Linked DNA regions of Diceros bicornis minor. The protein of the gene in region 2 purifies or fractionates together with the protein of the main gene of each other region. This does not show direct contact. Links are inferred from orthologs where the notes say so. Each region holds a gene or a part of one and is shown on either strand. Other genes may lie near its edges.

Evidence for each region.
Region 1: the proteins of ISG15 (region 2) and FLNB purify together in Homo sapiens (affinity purification with mass spectrometry; 3 studies listed by BioGRID and IntAct, with this or other methods). This does not show direct contact. The link is inferred for Diceros bicornis minor from reciprocal best matches to the Homo sapiens genes ISG15 and FLNB.
Region 3: the proteins of ISG15 (region 2) and HSPB1 purify together in Homo sapiens (affinity purification with mass spectrometry; 3 studies listed by BioGRID, with this or other methods). This does not show direct contact. The link is inferred for Diceros bicornis minor from reciprocal best matches to the Homo sapiens genes ISG15 and HSPB1.

What each region holds. Positions count from the first base shown.
Region 1 is NC_080741.1:57,958,677-57,966,342, reverse strand, and holds the start of FLNB (filamin-B), read right to left. Parts: upstream 3,052-7,666; 5' UTR 2,923-3,051; coding exon 2,631-2,922; intron 1-2,630. UniProt on the Homo sapiens protein: Connects cell membrane constituents to the actin cytoskeleton. May promote orthogonal branching of actin filaments and links actin filaments to membrane glycoproteins. Anchors various transmembrane proteins to the actin cytoskeleton.
Region 2 is NC_080752.1:21,991,720-21,997,941, reverse strand, and holds ISG15 (ubiquitin-like protein ISG15), read right to left. Parts: upstream 1,745-6,222; 5' UTR 1,617-1,744; coding exon 1,614-1,616; intron 1,141-1,613; coding exon 646-1,140; 3' UTR 588-645; downstream 1-587.
Region 3 is NC_080765.1:3,494,418-3,500,473, reverse strand, and holds HSPB1 (heat shock protein beta-1), read right to left. Parts: upstream 2,094-6,056; 5' UTR 2,035-2,093; coding exon 1,665-2,034; intron 1,041-1,664; coding exon 977-1,040; intron 888-976; coding exon 698-887; 3' UTR 574-697; downstream 1-573. UniProt on the Homo sapiens protein: Small heat shock protein which functions as a molecular chaperone probably maintaining denatured proteins in a folding-competent state. Plays a role in stress resistance and actin organization.

The DNA.
Region 1 (7,666 bases), on a different chromosome or scaffold from region 2:
TTAAATAGAGATAATAATACTAATAACAACCACAGAATAATGGCAACCATTTTCTAAGCATTTGGCCAGGACTGGGGCAAGCCCACAACCGGCCCAGTGACTCGCTGAAGCAGATCATTACATAGACAAGGAAAGTGAAACTCGAGGATTCAATGTGGCAATCAATGAGGTGATCAACAGAAAACACTTAACACCTAGTGGATGCCCCAAATTGGAGCTAGTGTCATTGTCAGCACCATGCAAACACAGCAGAAACACTGAATACTTGAACTGAAGTCCAAGCTGGATGTGCCTTTTTTCTGAAGGGCAATTACCCAGAACAGCCCCAGGAGCAGAGGGAAGAGGCCTCAGTCATTACCCCCATGGGAGTCCTGGCACTTGGCAAGTCTCCCATCAGTCTCCAGAGGCTGGAAAACCTGTTTGCTGTGAGATTTTTCTGGAGAGTAACCAGGCAGCCAACGACAGGAGTCATAAATGTGGTCATATCCTTTGACCCAGGAATACCACTTTGGGGAATATGATCCAAGAAATAATTTAAAAGGAGAAAATAAAATAAAACAATGTAACTTGTGGTGGAAAGAGGTCCACAGCAAGAAGCTGCCAACAGCCCACAGGCCTGTAACCAGGGAAGGGGAAACTAACCCTGGAATGTCAGGACAGTGGAAGTCACTAAGGCCTGGGTGTGTTCAGGAATGAAAATCATGAGTCAAGCAGAAAAATGTTAGGGACCAGGCAAAGTCTACAATGAGACCCCCAAGTTCAGGGCACTGATGGCAAGCCATGCTGGATACAGCTGTAGCCTCTGTAAACAGTGAATTAGGCAGTCCAGGATTTTCTGGTGCTGTGGTTTGGTTTTTTTGTTTGTTTTGTTTTTTAAAGAGATTTCATGTCATGTTTGGATACTCCTGGTTTACTTTAAGTTTCTTTGTTCAGTTAATTAAATAAATACACATTTTTAAAACAAAGGAGAAGGGATCCAAGTTGAGCCCAGCCTTGAGATTCCTCAGAGGGGAAGCTGGTTTCTGAAAAGGAAAGAATTCCAGGAGAATTCTAAGCTTCTCCTTCCCCACTTGCAGGAGATAGGCCCCCAAAAGATGACAACAGCATGCCATACAGCTTCCCTCTGCAGAGAAGCCACCCTTGATGGGGAGGCTGACTGGGCGGTGGCAGCTGCCTGAGCCCAGGAAGCAGGAAGCAGCCCTACCTGCCAGGACAGGTGTAGGGGAAGGCAAGGGAGAGGATGAGAAGACTCAGCCTAGAGGAAACCCCTTTTATGCTGGAGAAAGTCCCAGCAGCCACACCCACCACCCTTTCTTCCAGTCAGGGAGAGTCACTATAAGGCCTAGTTTCCTCAGGAAGAGACCCTAGCTAGACCCAGGCCTGCGCCAGCTCCTCTCTGGCAAGATGCTCACCTGGCAGAACTCACATGCACAATGTAGGTGTACACACATTCTCTACACACATACAAGTGCACATACACACTCACACGACACACCCCTTGCCCCCACCGTCACAGCCCACACCCTCAGCAGCTTTGTGACCCTCCTGGAAGTCCTCAACCAGCCCAGGTCATAGTGGGGACCTCATCCTCATTCTCCCTCCGGACTCAGGGGGAGAGGAACCCAACACCAACTCCCTCCCTCCTCTCAGGAAGACCCTGGTGTGGGGAGGGCGGGGAGAGGAAGGCAAAGTCTCCCTGAATTGTCACCCACTTCCTTCAATTCTCAGCTGGACCCTCGCTAATTCCATGACCTTGGGAAAGTCAATTAACCCTCTGGACCCCCATGTCTGTAAAATGGGTCTAACGACACCCCAACTCGCGGGATGTGTAAAGACACAACTGAGAAGGCTGTGGCACACAACGCGCACTGGTCTGGGCTCCCTACAGGGCGGCAATTACCATTCCCACCACCATCTCTCAGTTATAACTTCTCACAGTTATAACGCTCTCAGCGGCGAGAGCGGCTCATCCCGCGGCGCCGGGCCAGAGGCGAGCTGGGAGCAGAGGGAGCGAGAAGGACACACCCCCGCGACTCCCCTTCCTACCTCGGGGCCCACACCCATTCCGGAGACGGCGGGGGAGGGTGCAAGGGCCCCCTCTCCACCTGGGCGGGGAGGCCCCAGGCTCAGAGAACAGGACCTCCCCAGGTCCCCCCGCCTGGCCTCCGAGCCAACGCCCACTCGGCAGCCGCCAAGCGCACCGGCCTGGGCGCAGCGGGGCGAGCGCGCTGGAGAGAATCTGACTAAGGCCCCAATCCCGGGGACGGCGGACCAGAGGTTTCCAGTCCCCCAGCTCCCGCAGGGGCACCCCAGGTACAGAGAAATACCACAGCCCTAACCGTCCCCGTGCAGCCCCAACCCAAGCCCCCAACCCACAAACCCCCAGAGATGCACTGCCGGGGCACACGGCGGGGAGCTATCACACGAGGTCCCAGGCCAGGGGACGGCACCAGGGAGGGGGCCTAGGTCCCCTATGTCCCCACTCCCTCGGGGACGACGCCCCCCGGCCTCGGAGCCCACACCCAGCCCGCGGCTGCCGGGCGTGGGGGGGGACGCGCCGCAGGGAGCCCCAGCCTTCTGCGGGGGCGGGATGGTACACCGCCCGCGCCTGGCCCGGCCAGGGCACTCACCGATGGACACGAGCTTGATGCTCTCACGGTCCAAGAACTCGAGTGCCACGGACACGTTCTCGAGCTGCATCTGGCGGAAGGTGGGCCGCTGGTGGTACTTGCGGTACATGCGCTTCTGGCTGAGCACCTCGAGCAGCGCGATGAGCCGCAGCCCGTCGCTCAGGTCGGTCTGCAGGTTCCCGATGCGTTTGTTCACGCACTTGAGGTGCTCATTGCACCAGCGCGTGAACGTGTTCTGCTGGATCTTCTTCCACGGCGCGTCCTCCGCCAGGTCCTTCTCGGTTACCGGCATCCTGGCGGCGGGGAGAGCGCAATGCGCAGCGAGCTGCCGGGGACTGGCGGCGGGAGACCCAAGGGCCGGGGGAGCGAGAGCCGACGCGGAGCGGGCGCGGGGCTCGAACTCGCTGCTACCGGAGCCGCGGCCGGTGCTGCTCTGCGGCCGCCTGCCTCCGGCCGCGCGAGGCGTCTGGCCGCGCGCCTGCGCACTGAGCCGACCCGCCCCCGATGCCCCGCCCCGTCCCAACCCTCGGGCGGGTGTTCCCAGGCCACGCTCGCCCCCAGCCGGCCGAAGTGTGCACTGCGCCCCGCATCTTCCGAGGCGTCCCGAGTCCCCGCGCTGTGTGCTCACGGGCTCGAAAAAAGGAAGCTAGGCGGGAGAAGAGCTGCGTAAGGAGAAAGTCACCCGGTCCCGGAGTGAGGGGACGTGCAGAGGTAGGGAGCTTGACAGAATGGGCGCGGACGGCGGCGTGGGTCATGGGGGAGGGGCCGGCAGGGAGGGGTACTTCATTCACCCATAGGTTCATTAAGGGTTTTTATTGAACTTCTGCTGTGAGCCAGGCACTGTGTTAGGCACTGGAGGAAGGAAACGGATATTTTACTATTTATATTAACTAAACTCATTTGGATGATACTATTACCGTTCATAGCGTTTATTGAGTGCTTACGGTGTACCAGGCCCTCTTAGTGCCTGTGAACCAGTGGTAAATAAACATTCCTTAACCTTGAGGAGTTCATAGACTAATGGGAGAGAAAAATACAAATCAACTAACAGCTTAGTAGTAGTAATAGAAATGAACAATAATTGGCTGTATATTAGTTTCCTAATGCTGCTGTAACAAATTACCAGAACTTTGTCTTAAAAACACACACATTTATTATCTTGCAGTTCTGTAGCTTAGTTGTCCCTCACGAGTCTTACTGAGCTAAAATCAGGTATTGGCAGGATGCATTCCTTTCTGGAGGCTCTAGGGAAGAATCTGTATCCTTGCCTTTTCCAACTTCTAGAAGCTTCCTGCATTCCTTGGCTGTGGCCTCTTCCTCCATCTTCAAAGCCAGCAACGTCAGGCTGAGTTTTTCTCACGCTGTCATCTCTCTGGTTCTCCAGTCATATCTTCCTCTAACTCTTTTAAGAACCCTTGTGATTACATTTGGCCCAGTTGGTTAATCCAGAATATTTTAAAATCAGCTGGTTAGCAATCTTAATCCATCTGTAACTTTAATTCCCCTTTGCCATGTAAAGTAATATTCACAGGTCCTGGGAATTAGGATATGAACATCTTTGGGGATCATTATTCTGCCTACCAACACCATGTATTGAGCACCTGTTGTGTACTCATCCAGGTTCTGTGCTAGGTGCTGGGAAACAGTGGAGACCCAGGCCAGACCTCTGCTGTCAACAGCTGAATGATTATAAGAGTAGCAGCTAGCTTCTCCCGAGTACCTGCTCTGTCACTGTGCCAAGAGCTGTGCTAAGCCGTTCCTTTGCTATTGGCCCTGTTTGACAAGAATTAACTGAGAGTTAAGTGACTTGCCCAGGGCACACAGCATAAACAGGACTGGAATCCAGTCTATAAGAGAAGCACAGCGTGCCCTGGGCCCAAGAAGGCTTGGGGGAAGGGGGTCAGGGTGGGCAGTCTTCCTGGGGGAAGAGAGGTTGGGCAGGATGGAGGTCAAGGGCTTCCAGCCCGGGTGTTGCCCAGGAGAAGCCAGCAGATTTGTGGTTTTAACTTTTCATAACAGGTCATTTGCATGCAATGCTGAAGTGCTTTGTTCAGACAGATTGTCTCACTCACTGGAAATGCTGAAAACAGCCTGGGGGAGAGAGTGTATTACCGGGCCCCAGCCCGTATTTGAAGGATCATTCCCTTCCTTAGTGACTAAGTGAAGAGATTTGCTGGAGGTCAGCTGGTAAGGACTAGACAAAGCCAGGCTTGAACCTGGATCTAACTCCAAAGTCTACACTATGCCTAACGGCCCCCATGCTGTTCCCAGCCTGGGCCTTGCCTTCGTCCACACAATCTGAGCAGCAGATTCAGTAGAGGCAGTGTTGGTGACCTTTGCCTCCCCCATGCCCGAGGCTCCTCGTTCCTCATGCTTTCCTCCACCCAAACTCATCTCACTATCCGCAGTGTCTCACTCCCAAGGGGACCTCCTCCCTGCTAGGTGAGACTGGAGCTAATGTGATCAACTCAGCACAATCAGCAGCTGCTAATGTGCTCAGGTTCCCCTTTCTTATAAGATAGTTCTGTTTTCACCAGATCTTGACACAAATAACTAAATAAATTCTGTGTGTGAATATCCAGTCTACTTCACTCAAAGCTGAGACATCCCTGTCTTAGGATGAGTCCATCCATCCAATCAGAAGAAGCCTACAAGTTCTCTAGGAGCCATTTATGGTGAGGATGAAGGGGATTCAACAGCCACGGTGGAGGAGGGGGGTCACTGGCTTCAGAGACAAGGAGAGGAAGCAAACAAGGTCTTCATATGGCTCTTTATCAATATTTGATAAAACATGAGGATGAACAACTAAAGGTAGGCATATCTACAGGGAGCATTTTAGCTAACGTATTCTACAGTTTTGCCTGATAGGGCTTTCATTTAACAAATACCCTAAATTTTGTCCTAAGTTTCTCTGATCTCTTGGTAGAACTGCCCAGAGTGGAAGAGTGTACAGAAGTAAAAAGCACAGGCTTTGGGTGTGAATTCTGGCTGTTCTGGCTTTGTGACCTTGAACAAGTAACCTCTGCAAGCCACAGTTTTCTTATCCAGGTGATGCAGATAACACACCTACTCCACTCCTAGGGTTATTAGATAACACAAGCAAAACTCATAGCATAGTGCCTGGCACAGAATAAGTGCTCAGTTAATGTAGCTGGAAACTGGGCATAATTAACAGACTTCACAATCAGTCCCTGAAACATCTGGAATTAACTGCATTTTCCCAGACTCCAGTCTGTCTCTATAAGAAGCCATGGCTCCCCTCCATGTCTGTTCCCCACAGATGTTGATACCAATCTGCTACAGCCCTGAGAGATCATGGTCAGAATAAACTGACCAAGAAAACATAAGCAGAGCAGTAATCCCTCCATGTCAGCAAGGACCTGACAGGACAGCAGCAGATGCACAGACATCTACAAGGAAGAGACCAGCTGAACTTGAAGATAAACATTGGGCAGAAGTTGAAGCACTGTGAGCCTCCTTCTCAAAGTTGTACCAGTTGCCAAATCAGCCCGTCTGAGTCTGATCACAAGAGGGTCTTCTAATCAAGCAAGTATGCAAAAGTTCCCCTGATCCCACCTCCGTGCCTTTGCTCAGGCAGTTTCCTCTTCCAAGAATGCTCTCATCTCCCCTCTGACTTGGAAAAGTCGTGTCCCATCCTGCAGTCCCCTCACTCAGCTTTTGTGCGGTCACAGTGCTGGTTTTATGCTAAAGTTTAGATGCTGTTTTCTGTGGTCAGTTGCTGAAGAAGGGTAACTGTCATCTCTGTCCCCTTACAGGGGATAGTCTGGGGTTTAAGACCTAAAAGAGCCTGGACTGGCCAGTATAAATATAATGAGAGCCACATTATAATTTTTAATATTCTAATAACAATTAACAGTTGTGTCACTTAAATAGCAAAAAGAAACAGGTGAAATTAATTATAATATATTTTAACTAATATTAAGGTGACTGACTGTCCTGGTTTGCCCAGGACTTAGGAGTATCCTGGGATGCAGGCCTTTCATTTCAGTGCTAAAACCAGGAATGTCTCTGGCAAACCAGATCAAGTTGGTCACCCTACCCAATATATCCAAAAAGCTATAATTTCAACATACAATCAATATTTTAAAATATATATATATAGGTACTGTGTTTGAAATCTGACATGTATCTTATACTTAACAGCATATCTCAATTCAGACTCAGCACATTGCTAGTGCCCAGTAGCTTTCTTTGGCTACTGGTGGCTCATATTGGACAATGCAGGTATAGAGATATGCTTGATATTGAAATAAACCAGTTAATAGGTTGGAGATCCATGATGCTCTCACCAGGGTTCTGACCTTAGGACCCCCACCCCCATGTGTGAAACCTACCTCCACACTTCAGGAACCCCAGCTCTGTGAGAGTGGTCCCAGGTGATGGCATCCTGGGGTCCACTACTACAGTAGCATGTCAGGATATTCATAACAGTAACAATAGTAGAAATAATAATAATAGAAGCTTCCATTTCTTGAGTACTGGCATTTTCTCATTTAATCATCACAACAACCCTGTTGTTGTTATCCCCATTTTACAGGTAAGGAAACTGAGGCTGAGAGGGGTAGTCATATGGCTAAGGTCACAGAATGACAGAGATTGGGTACTAAGGAAGGGCTAAGAAAGGCAGTAGTCATGATTGAGAGCAGGGACCTGGGGCTGCCCCTGATTCAGTTTCCTTATCTGTAACCTACAGGTATCCCTCCTAGGAGTTTCTGATAAATGAGAAACTATGTGTATAGCACTCAGCATGTAAGTATCTACCGAGAGAACTGATACTGCTATTATGATGATGAGGATGCTATGATAATTTTATGATACTATCGTGGTTATGATATGAGTGGACGTCAAAGAGTGAAGACTGAAAGTTCCAGATTTAGAGGCCTGCTTTCCAAAGGGAACAGAGATGGAGAACCAGGACTTGCAAAATGAATTTATGTCCTCCCCAGCTGCATCTTTCCCCCAGGGCGGGGCCTTCTCCGTTGTAATTTTGCACCAGTGTCCACACCCTGCCAGAA
Region 2 (6,222 bases):
CCCACCGCTCCGCAGACCAGCGCAGGCTGGATGGGGCAGGCTGGTGTGTCCTGGAGGGCCAAGACGCCTGGAGCCTCCAGCTGGTGTAGACGAGCCTCCCTCACAACCCACCCAGCCGGGCCCTAGGGACTCACCCCCTCACCACTTCCAGGGTGCTGGTCCCAGCAGGGACCTCACTTTGTGGCATTTGGAACCAGGCCTTCCCTTCCCTGTGCTGTCTGCTGCCCAGGACGTGGGGGGAGGGGACCAGTGGTGCAGTGGCTGGCCGGGGCTCCACCTGGGCCAGGGATGGGCTCCAGCAAATGTGCCTCTTTTTGTTTCTCTACAAGTTAATTTCCCAAAGGTGTGGGGATACATCTTCAATTCCTGGGGGGGTGGCGAGGGCAGTGGGAGTGTCACTATTTAGGTTCCACTAGGGCTTGTCCCTTAACTTGGCAACCCCAGCCTGATCACCACCAAGCGACCCTGGGCTCTTTACTCAGCTCCCTCCTCGCCCCTCCCCCAACCTCATCATCAGGGGTGTGGAATGGAGGGCTGGCTGATGCTGCGGCGTGTGGGGAAGGGGCGAGAGCAGGCAGAGGCAGCCATTTAGCGTTGCATCAGCTTTTATTACAGGCACTTGGTCAGGGACTCAGGTGGGGGCCTTCAGCGTGGCCCCCGGTGCCCTGCCCCGCCCCCCCGCAGGCGCAAGTTCATGTACACCGTGCACCAGGCCGTGAGCTCGTACTCCCCCAGCTGGCGCTGGTCCTCCATGGGCTTCCCCTCGAAAGTCAGCCAGAACTGGTCAGCGTGCACGTTCTCCTGCCGGCACACCTGCTGCTTGAGCTCCGCCACCGTCTGCGTCAGCCGGATCTCATAGGCGCTGCTGCGACCCCTGTCATTCCTCACCAGGATGCTCAGGGGGTCGTCGCAGTTCTGCACGACCAGCAAGACCGTGCTGCCGGGCTGCAGGCCCTGGCTGACGAGGGGGACCCTGTCTTGCAGCACCGTGCCGGCCGGGTGGGTGGCCAGGCGCTGCTGGAAGGGGGGCACTCCGGTCTTCTGGGCGATCTGCTGCTTCAGCTCCGAGCCCAGCATGGAGTCTGTCAGGTGCACCAGGAACTCCTCACCTCCCAGCATCTTCACCTTCAGGTCCCGACCCTTTGGGCATCACACAGACTCAGAGGCCCTGGCACCAGTCTTGGGGCCCCTACACGCACAGCATTAGTCACAGCGCAAACTCCTAAGGCCCCTAGACGCTGCTCTCTCCTTGCCGTCCTCCCCGCCCACCAGGAGAGGGACCCCGGGTGCTGGAAACGCACAGGAATGCATTTCTAGAAGAATGGCCAGCCACCCAGGACCATCATGTCGCCTCCCTTCACCTGCTAAGATGCTCCCTGTGCCGGCCCCAAGGGACTTCAGAGTTGGCCACTGGGCAGAACCGGCCTTCCAAAACCCAGACCCTGAGGACAGAAGGAGCCCTGTCCCTCCCCTCCTGCTGAGGCACCTGGGGCACTGTGAGCAGCTCTGCTTGCCTGGCACACAGTAGATGCTCCACCCCCGGGAGACCCCACGAGGGGTAGGAAAATCAGCTGGTGCAGAGCCCACCTGCCCCCACCTGTCAGCCCCCTCACCATGGCTGTGGGCTCTGGCGCCGAGTCCTCCACAGGCACTGGCGAATCGCAGGGCTCGGCTTCCAGCTCTTGCTGCAGCCCTCGGGGCTCAGCCCTTTTATGGGCCTGAGCGAGCACGTCATGCACGGGGCGGTGTCGGCCGAATTCCGCTCCAGTTTCGGTTTCCTTTTCCCAAGGCTAGCCCCAGAGTGAGTGGAGGAAACAAAACAGAATGGTGACCGAATCCCTGCCCCTCAGGGGTGTGCCTTCGGAAACCCCCTAAATGCCTACCACGTCAGGTCCTTCACGGGATGACAAGTCGTGATAACACGATCTGAAGATTGGAAACTTTCACTTTCCATTTACCAATTTGCAAAATTAGCAAACTTGGAAAGCATTGTCATGGTCAGTTCAGAAATAACAGAAAATAGTGACAATCCGAACTACTCAGAGGTAATCACATCGCTTTAGGACAATATTTGTTCAGATTGCTTTCCTGTGAAAGAAATTCACCTTTTTTCTTTAAATTATTTATTAATTTTTTCCCCCAAAGCCCCAGAAGATAGTTGTATGTCATAGTTGCACAGCCTTCTAGTTGCTGTATGTGGGACGCGGCCTCAGCATGGCCGGAGAAGTGGTGTGTCGGTGCGCACCCAGGATCTGAATCCGGGCCGCCAGCCAGCGGAGCATGCGCACTTAACCGCTAAGCCGCGGGGCCGGCCCAAGATGCACCTTTTGTTTCTACAAAAATGAACTCATGGACACTATCCCTTAACCCAGCGAGGCCATTATAGCCTAGAGTGTGATTTAGTAACCAGTCTCATATTATTGAATATTTAGTTTGTCCCCAAATTTTTACTATTACAAACAGCACATAACGGTCATAAGTTAGCTAAAAATAAAAAGTAAATACATTTTTAAGTAAAAAAGTAAAAGAGTGGAAAAAACAAAATGTTTTAAATATGAATCTTGACCATTTTACCTCCCTCCTCCCCCAAAATCTCATAAGGCATCAAAATTGTTAACACACAAAAAGCAAACAGGGGGTTTTATTTTATCTTTTTAATTTATTTTTTTGAGGTAACATTGCTTTATAACATTATATAAATTTCAGGTGTTCATCATTACATTTCCACTTCTGTGTAGACTGCATTGTGCTCACCACCAAGATTCTGGTTGCCATCCCTCACCATACACACGTGCCCCTTTACCCCTCTCACCCTCCCCCCAAACAAGGGGTTTTAAATTTCTTTCTTTTTATTATTATTATTTGTTTGTTTGTTTGTTTGTTTTTGCTTGAGGAAGATTGTCCCGGTGCTAACATCTGTGCCCTTCCTCTATTTTGTATGTGGGATGCCGCCACAGCATGGCTTGATGAGCAGTGTGTCGGTCCGCACCCGGGATCTGAACCCACGAACCCCAGGCTGCTGAAGTGGAGGGCGTGAACTTAACCACTAGGCCACTGGGCTGAGCCCTTTTTTTATTATTTTAAGTTTATATCTTGATTCATTCCTTACATGAATAATATTGGTATTATAAAAAGAAAACCACAAACATTCATTGAAACAAAGAAAACAGAATGTGAAAATCCCCCATTTCCTCCAGATGGCCACATTAAACATGGTGTATATATCTCTTGATTTCTTGATGTTGGCATGTGGTACTATGATCTTCATTTTCTTTTATTTACTTCCTCCTGTGTTACCAGCTGTCTTCCTGCTTCTGATGGGCAGAACTAAATGCACGGTTATTAAGGAGGCAAGCCACAGAACCTGGGGAGCACCTGTCTTAGTCTCCTGCCGTAACAAATCACCACACACTGGGGGGCTTAAAACAACAGATATTTATTCCCTTGCAGTTCTGCAGGACAGAGGTTCGAAATCCAGGGAAACTAAATGGCCAAGACTATCAGGCTGGTTAAAAATAACCTGATTTTACATGGCTTATAGAAGACAAGAATCATCTGAAATATAAAGATACAGGAGATTTGAAAGTAAAAGGATGGCGAGAAACATACCACACAAATCTTGACTAAGGGAGACAGATGTGGCCATATTAACAATTTTATTAGCATATTAACAAAGAAATCTTATAGGCAAAGCGTTTCCAGAGATACAGAATAATAAAAGCTTGGATTCACTGTAAAATGAAATAAATTTAAACTTGTAGGCACCTAATAACATGGCCACAAAATATATAAGTTCTAGTCACAAATGTTAATATTCTATTTATGAAATTACAACAGTCACTTATAAAGGGGCCTTTGGTTAATATTTGGTCTCATTTACAAACTAATTTAAACTTCCTTCAACTTTTAAAACAACATCTATAATGTTTAATATACTTGATTTTATTTTATTTTTTTTGTGAGGAAGATCAGTCTTGAGCCAACATCCACGCCAATCCTCCTGTTTTTGCTGAGGAAGACTGGCCCTGAGCTAACAACTGTGCCCATCTTCCTCCACTTTATACGGGACGCTTGACTGCTACGCCACGGGGCCAGCCCCCTGATTTTATTTATAAGCGCTTCAACTAAGAACAGCAGCAACAGCAAAAAACCTTCCCAAGAACGTGCACAGTTCTCACCACTTACACCTGTACGCCCTGGTCCAGGGCACCACCCTCTCTCACCTGGGCCACTGCAGATACATCCTAGGGGTCTTGCTTCTATCCTGCCCCACTCCCATAATCTGTTATTGACCAGCAGCCAGAGTGATCTACACAAAACCTTCCATCCCCATGGCTTCCCATCACCCTCAGAGTGACAGAAGGAGCTTAAGCTTGCCACAACACAGCGGCCTCTGGCCACTTCGCTTGCCCTCGCCTCTCCTCTCCTGTCCCTCCCTCCTCCCCTGAAGGGCTTGGCTCCAACACACTGGCCTCCTTGCTGTGCTTAGGGGGTGCCAGGCACACTCTTGCCCCAGGGCCCTTGCACTGCTTCCCCTCTTCCTGGAATGCTCCCACGCCCCACATCTGCATGGTTCACTTCCTTCACCTCCTTCCCGTCTTTGCTTAAATGTTACCCCCGAGGTGGGGCCCCCCTGACCACCTGCTCCCTTGCTGCTTCTCCCCACAGCACTTTTTACCTTCTAATAACCATATAGTTTACTTACTCGCTATTGTTGTGGTCTCTCTCCCTCACTAAAATGTTCACCGTGGAACCTGCCCGTGAAAGGTGCAGAGGACTCTTGCGTGTGAACGAGTGAATCTTTACACATGTAATGAAATCAAATGTAAAAATGTGCTGAATCTTGAGTTTTCAGAATTCTGAGTTCTCAACAAATTAATCTTCCTATCTTTCTGCTTAAAATCACAAACCTCAATCCTTTATTAAGTGTGCATTTGAATTTAGGATCTCGAGGCTAATCCGACATAACTTTCCAAAGTGTAAAACTATGAGTCTGATTGTTTTACAACTTTTTTTTTTTTTTGTGAGGAGGATCAGCCCTGAGCTGACATCCGTGCCAATCCTCCTCTTTTTGCTGAAGAAGACCGGCTCTGAGCCAACATCCATTGCCAGTCCTCCTCCTTTTTCCCCCCAAAGCCCCAGTAGGTAGTTGTACGTCATAGCTGCACATCCTCCTAGTTGCTGTATGTGGGACACGGCCTCAGTATGGCCGGAGAAGCGGTGCGTCGGTGCACGCCGGACCCAAACCCGGGCCGCCAGTAGCAGAGCGCGCGCGCTTAACCGCTAAGCCACAAGGCCAGCCCCTGATTTTTTTACAACTTTAATGAGGTATAATTGACATACAGCAGAACCTCAGCTATTTTTGTGCAGTTTAAGGAGTTCCCACGTAGCTACCACCCGTGAACCCGTTACCACAACAAAAAGTGGACTTGACCTTGCATCATCTTCTCTCTACTTAATTCTGACTTTTGGAGGATCACATAAAGCTTGTTGCCTGTTCTAGAAACAGTGCTGCCTTCCTCACGGGCTGGGTGGTTCTCAGCCGAGTGAGCCCCAGTTGGGCCTGAGGGTTGGGCCGGACGTGGGACTGACTGTTCCCCTGGCTCCTTCTTCACGTGGCTGTTGCAGGGACCCGACCTCACAGCCCAGATTCTTCCATCTGATGAAAGTCGACCGGCCTCCACCTTCCAACAAGACTTGACTCACCTCTCTGTTCTCCACCTTTCCATTGGCCAGTCACCACTCCTGATACCATCATCTGGACACATCTGATTGGCTAGAGGCCCTGGGTCACAGCTTGAGGGTCCCCCCTGATGATAGGGCTGGGGCCCTCTGAGGTGATGGACTGGGTCGCCCTGCAGGCCTCCTGATGGAGGCATTGGGGCCACAGGGGCACCACGGCTTCTGAGAAAGTAGCACAGGGCTTGTTACTCACCGTGGCCACCAGGAAATGTGTCATCAGAGACCCCGGGTGGGCCACGTTTCTTAAGGAAGGTGTATTGTTGAAGTCTAATTAGCCTGGGCTCATTGAATAAGCAGCCTCCTCTTTTCCATATTCTCACAAGGAGTGTCACCCTGTTCCTCCAACGAGACCAGGAAGGCTGAGCAGGTGGCACCCTCTGACCTGGGCCACAGCCTCACTGTTCTGGACCCCATTCCTTCTTATGCCAGAGCCTCACCCCCGCTTGTCCGCACGTCCCCCTCCTGGCCACAGCCCCCTGC
Region 3 (6,056 bases), on a different chromosome or scaffold from region 2:
AGACAAAGGTGGGTGTGACTGTTCCTGCCTGGGACAGTCAAGGCAGCCCTCCTGGAGTGACCGCCTTCCCAGTTAGGACTCTGTGTCTCTTCCACCAAAACCCGGGCCACATTGCCCTCACTCTCTGCAGGACGCCCTTGGCCTGAGAGCCCAGGCCCCACCCTGCAGGCACGGGTGTGCGGGAACAGGTCCTTCGACTAGGCCAACCTCCCCTCAGAAAGTCACCTGGAGTTGCCACACCTCCTATACCGTCTACAGGGTCCTGCTCAAATCTGGAAGAATAATGAAGTCAGGAAGGGACTCTGAGCTCCCAGGAAGCTCCCCTCCCTCAGCCCTGCTCCGTCCCCCTTCACCTGACCCTAGCCTAGGTGTCCCTGAGGGCCCAAGCCTGGGCCAGGTGCCTCTCCTGGTTTCCCCGCTCCCACACCTGCCCCTGTGATGGACACCACTGTACCCACAGGGCCCAGCATGGGGCTTGGCACACAGCAGGCCCTCAGCAAATATGATGAATGTGTGAGCCAGCAGATGGCACTGACCCCTAGGCCTCCACAAACACCAGGGTCTGAGGCAGTAGCAGGCAGGGACTTGAACTTTATTTGAGAAAAACAGAAGGTGAATGTATCAAAAGAGTATACAGATTGGCAGGTGGGGATGGTCAGTGGTGGCTACTGGGGGGTAGGCAGCAGGGCTAAGGCCTTTACTTGGCTCCAGGCTGCTCCGACTTCCCAGCTTCTGGGCCCCCCAGCTGGGCACGTGCCTCGAAGGTGACAGGGATGGTGATCTCCGCCGACTGGGTGGCTGACTTGGGAATCGGGGCCTCCACGGTGAGAGTGCCCTCAGGGGACAGGGAGGAGGAGACCAGGGTAGGGTCCACACCTGGGGGCAGCCTGGACATGCAGAGAGAGAAGCCGAGAGTTACACACCAGTCTGTCACTGCACCCTCCCCACTCCCCCACAATCTGGCACCAGGACTTACGTGTATTTTCGAGTGAAGCACCTGGAGATGTAGCCATGCTCGTCCTGCCTCTCCTCGTGCTTGCCTGGGGGGAGAGTGAGGTCAAAGGTTGGGGGGAGAGGCCACCTCAAAGGCCTGCCCCCGTCCAAACCTGCCCCACCTGCCCCACCGGGTGGCCGGGATTCATGGCCCCCAGGATTCATGGAGGAGGAAAAATGACTACGGAATTTGGGGGCCCCGGACTGTCCCGGGCCCTAAGAAGCTTCTGGAAAGCTCAGTTCAGGGTTTGGGGGGGGTGGGGGCGTGGCGCCAGGCTCGTGCACACGCCCCTTCCGCAGACCAGAGCTAGGGGCAGGGACAGAGCCGACAACGTCCTCTTCACACTGACCGCGGAGGGGGGGGGGAGGCGCGGGTGGGCGCTGCGAGACCTGGTCATTGGGGGTGGGTGTGGGGGAGGGGTGGGGGTGTCTCCTTGGAAGGGAGCGTTTCTTCCCTTAATAGCGCGTTTTTACGGCCGAAAGGCCCTTAGGAGGTCCCCGCAGGCCCCATTCTAGAGCAGGGGGCACGGGCTAGGGGGCAGGGCGGGGAGGCCAGGCCCAGCCGAGGGCTCTGGCCTTCGGTCCTTGGCTAATTTTTCACTGCCCAGGCCTCTGGCTCACGGTCCAACCCCCGCGCCGCCAGCTTCGTCGCCGCGGGGCGGGGGGCTCACCGGTGATCTCCACCACGCCGTCCTTGGTCTTGACGGTCAGCTCCTCGGGGGCGAAGTGGTTGACGTCCAGGGACACGCGCCAGCGGTCGGCGGTCTGCCGGATCTCGGAGACGCCGCTGCTCAGCTGCCGGCTGAGCGCGCGGCTGTAGGCGGGCACGGCCACCGCGCCGGGGCCCTCGATCGCCGCCCCGGGCAGCGGGCGCACGTAGCCCGGCCAGCCGCCGTGGCTGAACCATTGCGACCACTCCTCGGGCAGCCGGGGCAGCCCGAAGGCCTGGTCGAAGAGGCGGCTGTGGGCCGGGTACCAGTCGCGGAAAGGGTCCCAGCTGGGGCTCCGCAGGAGCGAGAAGGGCACGCGGCGCTCGGTCATTCTTGCTCGGCTCTGCGCGTCTGGCTGCGGCTCGGAGAAGTGCTGGGCCCGGCCCCGCAGCGCTTTTATAGGCCTCCAGACGGGTATTTTTAGCAGGCGGTGTTTCAGGTCTCTATTAAAGGCAATGACGGACTAGGGGCAGCTCCTCCCCCGCATCCCTCCCTCTGCATACCGGGGTGGGGGCGGGACGAGGAAGGCCCGGCCCACATCTGGAACCTTCTCTTGTTCAAGAAAACAGATGACTGGAGCACCGATGCTGGTGCAGTGCTCACTGCCGGACACTCGCAGGCCTGGGCGCTAAAGTGCTGGGCCGCCGACTGTGGGCAGTCCTATCCTTTTGTCCAAGGGGGCAAAGCTGAGAGAGGTTGGGCCGCCTGTCCCAGGACACACAACTAGGAAGTGGCAGATCCAGGATTTGAACCACCGAGTGTCTGTGAAAGAATGTCTTAAGAAGCAGGCTGGTGGGGTTTTCAGAGTGTGAGCTCTGAGGCCAGACTGCCTGAGGTCACATCCTGATTCTGCCACTAATTGGAGGAACTTGTGTGAGTTAGACTCTGGGTGCCTTAGTTTCTCCATCTGGAAAATGGAGACGATGATAATAATAATGCTTACATCATTGGGTTGGTGTGAGGATTCAGCAACTTAATGCAAGTAAAGACTTCAGTCCAGGGCCTGGTACATGATAATGATTAGTTATTGTTATTTTTGTCCACCTGAAACTGAATAGAGGGACGAGGAAGGAGAGTGTGCATGTACCCCTATTGCAAAGGCAGTGCTTGTGTGGGTTTGGCCATTTTCTCTGTTCCCCCTAGGGGGGCTGGCCCAGGTAAGATACCCCAAGGCCCAGTGCTGAGAGGGGGTCAGGAGGAGGTTATTGTGAAGTCTCCCCATCATATCTGTCCTTCCTTGAGGAGCCCTGCACAGGGAACCTGAAGGGCCACAACCTTGACTGTAGTCTGGGCTTTGCCATGGACTTACTTGTGATTCGGAGCAAGGCCCCTCCTTTCTCTAGGCCTCAATTTCCCTTTTTGCAGATTATGATCTCAAAGCCCCTTTTTTGTTGATGATTCCCATGGCACAAAGGGCAAGGGGGCTCCAGGCTGCGCAGTCCACTCACACTGCCTGGAGCCTGAGGCCTGCCCCTTGACCTCACCTCCTCTCTCTCTGACCACTTATGGATCCAGGCCCCCATCTCCCAACTCTGGGAGAGGGCTCTGCCGCAGGCTCCTGCCGTAATCCTGACGGTCCCTCTCTCTTGCCTTCACATGCACCACCCTGGTCCAGCCTTATTTCTCCCCACTTATGTCCTATGATCTTTCCTTTTTAGATGAGGAAACTGAGGTTCAAAGAGATTAAGTGACTTGCCCACTGTCTCCACTGGGACACTAGCAGAGTAGCCTCTTACCTCTCTAGTGCCCAGGGCTCTTGCTGTTGAGGGCTCCCATCTTGGAGTCCCCCCGCCGTTTCTCTCTTTCTTGCTTGCTGCCCCTCTCCCGGGGCTGGGCTGAGGATGACCTCCTGCCAGTTCTGTAGGGGGCCTTTTGCTACCCAGGACACCTGAGGGGCTGGAAGCCAGACTCTGAGCCACTCGCCTTGATGAGTTGGGGGTAGCACCAAGTCTCATGCCCTCTCTGAGCCTCAGTTTCCTCTTCAAGAGAGAAAGCTCCTGGATGCTCTTCTTCCTTACCCACCTGCTCCCCATCAGAAAAGAGCTGAGGCTGGGCATGAATCTGAGGTCACCTCTGAAAAGGCCTCTGAGCTCCTGGGGCTCTCGTGGGCCAAGGGTGGGAGGCAGACAGGACCCATGCCCTCTGCTCCACCTCCCTTGCTGGATCATGTCATGAGCTAGTGGGTCTGAGTTGGGAGCTACTGGGCGTCCCCCAAGGGTCTCAGCTTCAGGAAGCCCTAGGCCTTCACTCCCTGGCACTCCCAGCCCCACCTTTCCCCAGCTCTATAAAGTCGGGGTGAGGTCAGGAGCCTGGAGGGCTCTCGTCCACGCCTGCCTGCCCGCCTTGGCCCAGACTGGAGCCCAGGTGTCCCACCCTAGAGGGAGCTGTCCGGTGTGGTCATGGATGCTTTCAAGTGTGGCCCTGCCAGGCCCAGTCACGCTCTGGGTGGGGCTGCCTGGCTGGCTGCCAGCGCTTTGCAGACACAAGCTCCCTTCATAGCTCCCTTCATCTGCCTGAAACCAGGACAGGGAGGATTTATTCCCACTGCCCCAGCCAGGGGAAGTTGTGCAACCCAAGTTGCAACCCGCACAGCACTCTGCCCACGGTGGGTGGGGAGGCAGAATTGAGAATTCACATCCATCTTCAACGGGGCAGTTCTTGAGGGACTCTTAGATCACCCTGCCAATCACAGGGAGGGGACAAGGGTGGCTCTGGGTGGTGGTAAGAGGGTGTAGGGTATGTGGGAGAAACTGGCTTTTGGGGTCAGACAGCCTGGGCTTCAATCTGGGTGCTGGTGTTCACTGGCCTGTGACCTCTCTGAGCCCACAGGTCCCCATCAGCAAAACATGACTACTAATGTGCCCATCTTGCAGCGGTGAATCTCAGATGCAATAACGTGTGTGAAGTGCCTGGTGCTCAGTGAAGTGTCCATCCTTATTAAGGGAGGAGGGCCTTTCATTGTTTAGATGTTGAGACTTAGACTAATGAAAGTTACCCAGATGTACGCACTTTATATAGAGTGTCCAAGTATCTTATCAGGCTCGTGAGTCTCCTGATTCTGGTGCTGGAGAGACTTACCAGGCCGTCCAGGGAGGGCTGTGGGTGCAGGGTGAGGTGTGCAGCCAAAGGTTGCCTGTCGGGATGGGGAGGGTTGGGCCAGGCTCCCTGGGGTCCCTCCAGCTCTGCCCAGGTGCCCTTCCTCTAGGAGGTTGCACCCCTGCACCCAGGCACAGGGCTTGGAAAGAGAAGCAAAGGCTGACGTCAGCTCCTCTTGCCCACCTTCCCAGATGTTCTTTGACAATCTTCCACTCTAGCATTGGGGCACTGAGCTGCCAGGAGTAGTTTTTCTGAGATTATGAGGATAAGTCCACCCCCCAGGGATTTCCCAGAAGCCAGGGGGACTGGAGGTAGATGGGCACTGCAGGGTCTGGGATTCCTTAATCACAAGGGCCCACCCATCATCCCTAGCCCCAAAGTCTGGGGTACTCTGCCGCAGCCCCAAGACCAGCCTCCCAGCCTCCCAGCCTGGCACTGTGCCTGAGGCCTTGGCCGCATAGCCACACCCTCGGCAGTTCTTTGCCAACTGCGCTGAGCCATTCTCTCCCTTGCTGGCCCAGCCTCAGAGAAAGCGCTGGAGTCTTCAGGCAACTGCCCGAGCTCCCCAGAGAGGCCTGACAGCTGACGGATTGCACCAGTCGCTGGGCCTGCTGGGAACTAAAAATGTGGGCAGCAGTAATTAGAGTGCATGGGGTGAGGGGCACCAGGTCTTTCTGGAAGCGTCTAGACACTGCCCCTCAGGGAGTCCATTTCCATCTCCAGTCTATCCCCTAGGCCTCTGGCTTCTGGCTGGCCTTGGGGTCACTTCGCACCCATCACTGCTGAAGGGGGGCCAAGGAGGGGCCAGGTGGGAGGGCTGGGGATCCATCCTCTGGCCCCTCCCGCCCCGCTGTCCAGCAGAAAGAATCTGTCTAGCTTGGGAGTCTGGGGATCTGCATGTCTCTCACTCTGTGACCTTGGCTGGCGGCCGGCTCCCGTGACTCATTTTCTTCATCTGTACAATGAGACCATTGGACTGGATGTTCTCTAAGGCTCCTTCCAGCACCGTGAATCAACAGTTTCTCCTCCACTCTCCTTCCTCCCCCCCAGGTCCCCTGCACCGACTGCCCACTCTGCCTGCTAATGCTGCTGGAGCGGGTGTGTATATGGTGAGTGGAGGCAGGGGTGAGGGAGGACCTGGAGATGTGACATCCCCCGTGGTGGCTGTGGAGGGGGGAGGCCCTATGGCTGGAGCACCCTCGTGTCTTAGGTGTCCTAAGAGCCCTTTTCAGCTGGAGGGGGCCCTGGAGGAGGAAG